Tribolium castaneum: one gene and its partners. The protein of the gene in region 2 interacts with the protein of the main gene of each other region in a biochemical or structural test. Links are inferred from orthologs where the notes say so. Each region holds a gene or a part of one and is shown on either strand. Other genes may lie near its edges. The genes, in order: Fs(2)Ket, nuclear pore glycoprotein p62 and probable nuclear transport factor 2.

What was found.
Region 1: the proteins of nuclear pore glycoprotein p62 (region 2) and Fs(2)Ket form a complex in vitro, tested with the Homo sapiens proteins (2 studies listed by BioGRID). The link is inferred for Tribolium castaneum from reciprocal best matches to the Homo sapiens genes NUP62 and KPNB1.
Region 3: the proteins of nuclear pore glycoprotein p62 (region 2) and probable nuclear transport factor 2 form a complex in vitro, tested with the Homo sapiens proteins (3 studies listed by BioGRID). The link is inferred for Tribolium castaneum from reciprocal best matches to the Homo sapiens genes NUP62 and NUTF2.

What each region holds. Positions count from the first base shown.
Region 1 is NC_087398.1:2,430,981-2,434,742, reverse strand, and holds the start of Fs(2)Ket (importin subunit beta-1), read left to right. Parts: upstream 1-1,267; 5' UTR 1,268-1,604; coding exon 1,605-1,659; intron 1,660-2,017; coding exon 2,018-2,259; intron 2,260-2,312; coding exon 2,313-2,956; intron 2,957-3,452; coding exon 3,453-3,762.
Region 2 is NC_087396.1:18,041,104-18,044,865, reverse strand, and holds nuclear pore glycoprotein p62, read left to right. Parts: upstream 1-1,520; 5' UTR 1,521-1,622; coding exon 1,623-1,692; intron 1,693-1,744; coding exon 1,745-1,933; intron 1,934-1,982; coding exon 1,983-2,096; intron 2,097-2,143; coding exon 2,144-2,270; intron 2,271-2,785; coding exon 2,786-3,136; intron 3,137-3,184; coding exon 3,185-3,296; intron 3,297-3,399; coding exon 3,400-3,555; 3' UTR 3,556-3,607; downstream 3,608-3,762. Other genes in the region: ankyrin repeat domain-containing protein 12, read right to left, coding at 3,608-3,762. UniProt on the Homo sapiens protein: Essential component of the nuclear pore complex. The N-terminal is probably involved in nucleocytoplasmic transport.
Region 3 is NC_087395.1:25,834,513-25,836,987, reverse strand, and holds probable nuclear transport factor 2, read left to right. Parts: upstream 1-771; 5' UTR 772-909; coding exon 910-1,017; intron 1,018-1,067; coding exon 1,068-1,139; intron 1,140-1,190; coding exon 1,191-1,289; intron 1,290-1,339; coding exon 1,340-1,453; 3' UTR 1,454-1,464; intron 1,465-1,647; coding exon of another isoform or gene 1,648-1,761; 3' UTR 1,762-1,814; downstream 1,815-2,475. Other genes in the region: 3-oxoacyl-[acyl-carrier-protein] synthase, mitochondrial, read right to left, coding at 1-363; tetratricopeptide repeat protein 17, read right to left, coding at 1,852-2,013, 2,319-2,475. UniProt on the Homo sapiens protein: Mediates the import of GDP-bound RAN from the cytoplasm into the nucleus which is essential for the function of RAN in cargo receptor-mediated nucleocytoplasmic transport.

The DNA of each region.
Region 1 (3,762 bases), on a different chromosome or scaffold from region 2:
ATTGCAAATACGAACCTATACCCACTGCAAGCACGCCAACAATTTTATTTATGTTGCAATTATATTGCAATTTAGCTCGTTTTTTGAAAATTCGTCGTTTACGAAATACCCATAAAAATCCTTTATTGTGTACGACTGTCCTCATAAGTTGTTTGTTTGTCCAAAGAAAAACTTTATACTCTTATTTATTGGATATTAAAGGCGAATGTTATGACTTTTAAATTGGTTTTATTAAGGCAATTAAAGGTGGTGGACACTGTAAAACCCATATTTACGAAGTTACTTACACTCAAGCCACATATTTCTACAGATTTTATTAATGACCACAATTAATTACTCCCTAAAGCCTTCACCTTTTCTTCGATCAGGTGGTTTCTTTTTTAATGGAAATGCATGTGTCTACGCAACATGTTAAATATAAATTCACAGTATGCAAGATACCATCAGGTTTGTGCAGCTAAGTGCGTTCAAAATAACACAAAGTGCTCGCAAAACACCCAAGAAACAATGCATTACACTCTGCTCTAAACTTGTTTTGCTCACCAGGAAGAAAGTACTCGACTTTACCTAATTTTAAAATAAACCCACTTTTAACATCCCTATAGCAATAAATGAAACATCTTAATAATAATAGTAATAACAATAATAATAATAATAATAATAATAATAATAATAATAATAATAATAATAATAATAATAATAATAATAATAATAATAATAATAATAATAATAATAATAATAATAATAATAATAATAATAATAATAATAATAATAATAATAATAATAATAATAATAATAATAATAATAATAATAATAATAATAATTTGAATTGAATTTTTTTTATGACTAAAATGAATAGTAATCAAACGTTGAGCAGGAGAAGTAATTTAGGTCAAAAAAAAATGAGAAAATAATTATTTATATTGTTATTTTAGTCAATTAAATATTGATAGGCGTGGCCAATTATGTTTAAAATGAATCCTATTTTTATACAGAATCGTTAAAGGGATATATACAGTCAAAAGTCTGAAAAATAGTTCATTAAATTGTTTTTCAAGTTATATTTACAATTGGTTTATCATAAAAACCGTCAGCTGCAGTAAAATGGGACTAAAAACAATGTAATATCCTATATTATATTTTTGAATAAGCACTATAAAGTTGGCTTAGAAACATAAATGGTTGCGACATCTATCAAAAAAAGCAGTAATCATTGTAAACTGTACAGAAACCTATTAAGAAAATGCGCGCAAAGCAAATCGGTTTAACGGTCATCTTGTCTCCGCACTGAAATACAGTATAAGTGTTTATTATCGTTAGTGACAAATCACAAGTTAATTTACAACGTAAAGTGCTTCAAGTAAATTGTTACAACTGTGTGAACCGCTGTTTGATATAATTTGGGTAAACAACGATTGAAATTGGCCGTAGTTTTGAAATAACGATAAGGAACCGTCATTCATACGTTAGCAGCAGCGTATGAATATAGCCTTCCTGCCAGTTTAATCATCCTACATGTCCATGTGGTGTTAGCCGGCTGATTGCAAGAACCAATTAATTAAAACCGTTAAGTTTACAATATTAGTCAGTAATTCTACAATAAAATGCATCAAGAAACACTCCGACTTATACAAGTGCTAGAAAAAACTGTTTCTCCCGGTAAGTACAAAACTTGACTATTTGACAAGTTGCCATCATTTTTTAACCACTGCCATATAATCGCATGCCTAATCATCAAAAAGCACGTTCCTCTCAACCCCGCCTCATTTCCGCCTTTTCGATAAATTTCAACCCGCTTTGACATTTTACGAAATTCCCAAGCAACTCCCCGTCAGGGCTTAAACCAAAAACCTGACGATGTCGCCGCACCGGCGTCGAAACGTCGGTCGCTCTTTTTCCCAAAATGCAACTCTTTTCAAGCCCTCAAGCTCGCAAAGTTTCATCATAACCTCACACTTTTCGAGGTCATTATCCTCAGTGATTTTCCGTTAATCACAGCCTATTTGACGATTTCCAGATAAAAATGAACTGGAGCAAGCATCAACATTTCTTGAGCAAGCTGCCGCCGCTAATATCTTAGAATTTATCAAGACTCTATCCGATATCTTGCGACATGGGGGCAACAGTCCCGTTGCTCGCATGGCCGCCGGTCTCCAACTGAAAAACCAACTCACGTCCAAAGATCCCAACATCAAACAGTTATGTCAACAGAGATGGCTGTCGGCACCGGAGGAGATACGCAACTACGTCAAGAAAAACGTAATTGTTTATATACCGGTTTTGTTAGTGTTTTTTTCGACCGTTTTCTCCAGGTCGTAGGGGCCCTGGGCACGGAGACCAACCGGCCTTCGTCAGCGGCCCAATGCGTGGCTTACATCGCTGTCACCGAATTACCGCACCACCAATGGCCCGACCTGATCGTCACGCTAGTGAACAACGTAGTCCAACCAAACTCCACCGAAATGCAGAAAGAAGCAACGCTGGAGACCATCGGCTACATCTGCCAGGAAATCGACTCAGACGTGCTCGTTACCCAATCCAACGACATCCTCACGGCGATCATCCACGGAATGCGCTCCACAGAGCCCAGCAATCATGTCAGATTTGCGGCAACGCAGGCGTTGTTAAATTCGCTCGAATTCACTAAAGCTAACTTCGAAAAGGCAACTGAAAGGAATTTCATCATGGAGGTGGTGTGCGAAGCCACTCAGTCGCCAGATACGCAAATTAAAGTTGCAGCGTTGCAATGTTTGGTTAAAATTATGTCTTTGTATTATCAATATATGGAGCCCTACATGGGCCAAGCTCTCTTTCCCATTACTTTAGAAGCGATGAAATCTGACAATGATGCCGTGGCGCTTCAAGGTATTGAATTTTGGTCGAATGTTAGCGACGAAGAAGTGGATTTGTCCATCGAAGCCAATGAGGCAGCGGATGCAGGCCGGCCCCCAGCCAGGTAAGAGCATCATTTCTGGAATGACTATTAGTAAAAACTGTAATTCCCTGTTTATGCGTTTAAGTGAAATCCAGTCTGTGAGCGATATGATAAATTCGTAACTTAATCAGCTAATCGTTAAATATCATTAGATAACTAAGTTTTTCTGTTTTTACTTCGGTCAGAGAATTCCCACAATAAATGTTAACAAGAATAAATAATCTTTTTACGGCTTTTGCCATGCTATTAAAAGAATCAGATTAGTAGTAGTTTCATAAACCTAGTCAGATTTTTATAAACACAAATTAAACTAACGATGCTTTTGTGTTGCTAACTTTAGTTTGGTATTTTTATGATCGATAAAAGCCTTGTTTTGATTTGATTTTCACAATTTGCGTTTGAAACATCAAAAAATAGATAAGTGTTAAGTCAACAAGCCTATTATTAGAACGGAGATTATTCATTGTCCTGTTACGCTGACTCAACCGTCAGTCAGTTAAGCGAATATTTCTTCCAGAGTATCACGCCACTACGCCAAAGGTGCGCTCCAATTTATCGTACCCATCCTTCTGCAAAAACTAACGAAGCAAGAAGAGCTCGATGACGAAGACGACTGGAACCCGAGCAAAGCTGCCGGCGTTTGTTTAATGCTTTTGGCCACATGCTGCGAAAACGAAGTTGTTCCACACGTTTTACCTTTTATCAAAGAAAACATAAAGTCTGAGAATTGGCGATTTAGAGATGCGTCGCTTATGGCTTTCGGCTCGATTCTTGGCGGGTTAGATAACACCACTCTTAAACCATTGGTGGAGCAAGCCATGCCAACC
Region 2 (3,762 bases):
TAAATGAATGTTTTGTTTAGTTAAATATTACTGAGAACTAAATACCAGGAGGAGAAACAAGATACGAAATACAGAAGGAACACGATTATAACGAACCCGGTATTTAAAGCTGCGTCCACACTATGACGATCGGCAAGTCCGATTGGCAAGCTTAATCGGCATGATCGGCTTTTTTTACGTGTAACGGTGGCATGTAACTTATGGCCGAGCGGCATGTCCACACCAAATCAGCTTTGGTGTGGAAGCAACTTAACGAAGAAATGGAAACTCATATTTTAAAGCCCTATATTTATATTATAATAACTGTAATATTTTTTAAATAAAATACCACTTTCCCCAAATAATTGTTTATTCACTCCTAACACCACGACGGGACAAGCAAGAGTGCCCGTTCGTCATTCTCCTACTTGCTTCCCCCTACCTCACTCAGCCTTTTCTATATAGGTACAGTACTTAATACACTACAATAACAAATTAGTTCGGTTATAGTGAATATATGAACTTCACTTTTAACGTTCGAAATTTAGACAAAAAAGTGGTCTAGGACTCGGTTATAAGTTATAAGTTATAACGTACGCACATGCACTTACAGCACTTACATGCACTTACAGCGACATTCCAGCAGGCACATAAACAGACCAAGTAATTAGAAATCTTTAAATTTAGGATACGAAACTAAAAATTATTGAATTGTTAGATAACTATTAAACATAGATGAATGTAGATAAATATGCTTTTCTAATAAATTAAATTAATACTTTATTTCGTGTATCTGTTTCACGTTTAGAATTCAGTTGACTTGAAAACTATTCTATAAACGACGATGTTCGGATAAAACAAACGATCGGGTATAATACATAACAAACAAATTCTGAAGTCCCTTGAGTGTTCGTTATAACCGAGTTCCACTGTAACTCACCAATTTAGGGTGGAGTTTAAATGAGAGCGATTTGAGACACTGTAGATCTTCCCCTTTTCAAATTGTTTAATTTGATTCGTAAGCATCTTAATAATCTTAATATATTAATCTCTTAATAGTCTGAGAAAAACTACCAACTAAAATAGTAATGACAAAAATTTAAATTATCCTTCGTCCTATATTTTTTTGAAAGGCGGTCTATAGGGTTTAAGATATAAAAATTAAAAAGTTATAGAAGATTAAAATTTCTCACAAAAAAGTTTGCGGAATCATCTTTAATGGTTTGAATGTTTGAGTGATGGAAAATAATTTGCACTTTAAAACAATTTAAACTTATTATTAAAGATAAAAATTTGGCTTTTCGGATCTTTTTAGAGAAAATTTAATTCTCTCCACTTTTTTTGTTTTTTTTTTGTTTTTTTTATACAATTTTGACTTTACTTACGGGTAACAAAAATAAAGATAAAACCTTCTGTTATAAAAAAGTGGAATATGGAAGCTTATGACACTAGAAACGCCAACGGACACTTATGATTATAATTTGAAACTTAATTTTCCTCCTTCCTAAATTTTATGAGGCCATGGTTAAAAAATCCATCTTTCCCTCAATCGCCACTAGTGCCGCCACCATCGTTTTAAAATTTAACGTCAAGCTAACCTATAAATTTTGTGAAGCTACTTGAAGCTAACTAATTTTCTGAAAATGTCTTTCAATTTCGGTGCCCCTAAAACGGCTACAGGTTTCACATTACCTACCACTAGCACAATTGCCAGTACGTAAGACATTTTGCTAACCAAAACGCAACTAACCCTTTTATTACACAGCCACCACAGCTACGGGCGGTGCAGGCGATACCAAACAGCAAACCCCTAACAAACCACTAACAAATCTATTCGGTACTCCTACGACCAGTACCGGGTTTTTCCTGGGTACAACCCCCAAAACAACAGCGTCAGTAAGTTTCGGCTTAACAACAACAAGCGCAACCTCAACTCCCAGCTTTACAATAACTCGTTAGTAACCCTTTTTTGTTAAATTTATGTAATAATTAGTCAACTTTAGCTGCGACTTCGACGACTACGCCGCAGTTCAGTCTAGGGACAAGTGCTTCAACCACTACCACCGCTGCCACTTCGTTTACTCCTATTTTGTCCACAGGGACATCCCTATCTTCAGGTTTAAAAAAATTAGGGTTTTGTAGTCTTTACACGATTTAAATTTAGGTTTTTCGTTGGCAAGCAGCGCTGCAACTTCCGCACCTTTGAAACTAACCACAACCCTAACCCCTTCAAGCACAACAACAACATCAGCCTCTGGTTTAGGCCTAGGGGGGCTTACAGCTACTACACAGTATGTACTCTAATTATAAATACTTTTAACCCGCGCAAATGCGTGTCACAGTTTATAATAACATATATCAAGAGTACTGTGAAAGTTTAGTTAAAGTATGTCTTGACTAGTATTTTATTAAGGGTACTAATAAAAAGATTATTAATAAATTCGATTTTGATCATATAATACGAGTGCGAACACACTAGGTTAAAGTTCGAGGGCTGTCGTTATACAACGAGCATATGCGAGTTGCATACTTAGACATTATTATTTTTACTGTGCGTTTAATTCGTACCGTTTTATTATTGTATGTCGAATTTATCAAATTTTGAACCATATCTTGCGTAAAATATTGATTAAAATATTTGAAATCTTTTTTTTTAACAAACTTAAAATCAGCGTTGACAATGCTCCACCTGGTTCCTGATTTGTATTATATTGTAGTTTTGATATTTCATTAAATATAAGAGTTTATGAACATACGTCCGGGAAATTTTTACAGCACTTTTGATATGTTTCGTATAATTTTTAAGAGCGCCAGCTGTGACCACCACAACAGCAGCAAGTCTGCCAACTTCTGGTACCTTAACCTATGCTCAGCTAGAGGACTGTATCAACAAATGGACTATAGACTTGGAAGAACAAGGAAAATTCTTCATTAATCAAACAAAACAGCTGAACGCTTGGGATAACCTGTTGGTTTCAAACACTGATAAAATATTGGCCTTGAATGAAACAATTGAGCGTGTGAAACAGCAGCAGAAACAACTAGACCAAGAGCTTGATTTCGTATTAGCTCAAGATAATGAATTAGATGAGTTGAGTCTTCCTCTAGAGAAACAATTAACTGATATTCCAGTCACGGATCAGAATAGATTCCAAACGTAATTGTTTATTACAGTAAAATATTCGACATTCTGTGGGTGTTTTAGGTATCAATTGTCTGAAATAATTGACTCCCAATTGAAGCAAATGTCCGAGGATTTGAAAGAAATTGTGGAACATTTGAACGAGTCTAACAAAAATGAAGATATTACTGATCCGGTTTGTGTCAACAAATGTTGTCAAGACTGCTCTGCCTACTTCACAGCACTCTTGGCCACATTTTTGTTTCGACTCACTATCCTATCATGTGTGTATGTTGTAGGTCATTCAAGTCAGTCGCATTCTAAATGCCCACATGAATTCGCTCCAGTGGATTGATAGAAACTCGTCTCAGATTTGCTCTCATTTGGAACAGATTACACAGTTACATGAGACTTACAAGAAAAACGTTTTTATTAAAATTTCCTCTATACAATAACGCCTTGTACAAATTTCTCATATCAAACAATAAATCTAACAAGATATTGCACTTAGTCGCTTTTTGAATGTCTGTGGCTTTTTGTTTCTTCCTCTGGGGGGCTTCCTTCATTCCCCTTGACTGTAAATGTGACGTAGTATCGCTTGTTCTGATCCAGACGATCCGCAGGCAGTGATATGACTTGTTTGTCGTTTCCGTGGCACAGTT
Region 3 (2,475 bases), on a different chromosome or scaffold from region 2:
TGCGCAAATATCCTCCAAATCGACCATCCCCATACCGACGGCGACCCCTGTCCGGAGCTTAACACTGTCAGGGGGGCTCACAAGGCCGGAATCGGTCAAGGCCTCGTGGGCGGCAAGGAGGGCGTAAGCGGTCGCAGCCCCCATTGATTTGAGTTCGGTTTTTTTGAAACGGGAGGTTAGGTCGATTCGAGCCCCCTTTTCTTTGATCAAGCCGGCGATTCGGCACGGCAAGGGGGCGTACGCGGGGCCCTCGAGCTGGGAAATGCCCGATTTGCCCGAAGTTATGGTCGCCCAGGCCTGAGTGAGGTTAAGGCCGACGGGGGCCAGGACCCCCATGCCCGTCACGACGACTCGGCGCGTCATTGTACAAATAACTGGTCCAATCGTCGTGTCTATTAATTAAGACATGGTATTATCGGTTTTTTATTAATAAATTTTGCAACAAAACCTCACTTAAAGTTAGACGTTTTGTGGTTTAGTTATTTGGGTAAAGTATTTATTTGAGGCCTATTGGTAAATTTCAATTGATATTCGAGTGTAATTGATTCAAAACTAAGTAACTGATCAATTGATTATTAACACAACTACAAAGTAATAAGTTAAAAAAAATAATTTCGTCCATTTGCACGTTTGAGTTGATGTTGCATGATTTTGGCTATTTTTATATTTATCTCACGGAAAAAACATCTGAGGTGCCAAATGGAACACCAGGGTGGTTAGGCGATTAAAAATTGATTGATTGTGGATGTGGGGTTTTGGGAAAAAATACAATTTCGGTTTAAACGTTCGCCCTTTTGCGCTTTCGTTCGTGGCGCCCATTTTGACATTCGCCAGCCGACGGTTGAGTGGGGTTATATCAATCCGGCTTAAAATTGCCATAATTGCGAGAATTCGGCTCTTTTCTCGACGATGGCGTTAAATCCCCAGTACGAAGCGATAGGAAAAGGGTTCGTCCAGCAGTACTACGCCCTTTTCGACGACCCGAACCAGAGGCCTACTTTGGCAAACATGTACAATGTGAGTGAGCTTGGGCGCCTGTAAGCCCCCTAATTGCGTTGTTTCCGCAGATCGAGAGCTCGTTCATGACGTTCGAAGGCGTCCAATTGCAGGGATCTGTGAAAATAATGGAAAAATTAACGGTGAGTCTGCGCTTTTTGCGTTCCAGCAGATTGGTCAAGTTCTCGTTGCAGAGTTTATCATTTAAAAAAATTAATCGAATTATCACAGCGGTCGACTCGCAGCCGATGTTCGACGGCGGGGTGCTAATCAACGTTTTAGGTAGATTACAGGTAAGCCCCCTTTCGCACTTCCTGGAGACCTGAACATAGCATTTTGATAGACTGATGAAGACATGCCTCATGCGTATCTTCAAACTTTCGTCTTGAAACCAATAGAAGGGAGTTTTTTTATTCAACATGATATATTCCGACTTGTCCTTCATGACACTATTTAGTCAAAGAGGCAGTACGTATTCGTGTTGCTTTCACTGCCAGTTGTTTCTTGCATGCTCTCCGCAGCTTCCTTGATAACGACAATTACCATGGTTACGTTCGTTTGTTTAATTTCGTAACTATGGTAACGTGCCTTTCTCTAATCAAGAAAGCCATGATTTTGATAGGTTTTTGATTGGTGTTTTCGGATTTTCAGGCCGACGAAGACCCCCCGCACGCATTTTCCCAAGTATTCGTTTTAAAACCTTTAGGAAACTCATTTTTTGTCCAACATGATATTTTCAGATTGGGAATCCACGACACCGCTTAAACCACTACTTGTTTTACCATTGCTTCATCATTAAAATAAAATATTTTATAAACTTTCAGACAATTTATTAATCACAATCCAGGTACAACACTAGGCAAGAATCCTCTTTGCGCGCTTCTGTGATCCCCCAAACCCCTTCAAACTCCTCATCGCCATTGCCTTGTTAAAATGCCGTTGCGTCTTCACTTCTGCATACTCACCCTCGCCCATATTATCCACAGACGATAAAATCACCAACAAAACACCTAAAACCTGGAAAAAAGCTCGGTCAAAGTGACCCATGGTTTGCGAAATCAAGTTGGCAACACCCTAAAAACACGATTAGCATTTTTTTGGTTTGTTGCCAACTTATTCCACTCAAACCAACCTCTCATTCTGACAATTATTCAAATATTTTGTAAAGTCTGCAAAACTCTAGTAACTCAGAATTGTGCATAAACAGAAACGCACATGATCATAATAGAAAATACACAGAAACGTAATCTAGTCATTGTTTCTGGAGATGCACTGTTCTGTCATTGTGCGAAAAAATCGTCAAAAGCGCCAAATTAAATTACCAGGCAAATAATTATAACAAGTGTGTAGACATGTATGCTGGCAGTCGGCATCGTCTCCATCTCCTTAAGTGCATTTTGCGCCGGTTCAAAGCCCGGCTTTAGCTCCAGCGTGTGTTTCAAATGAATCGAAGCCTCCTGATAGTGTCCATAAGCCTTA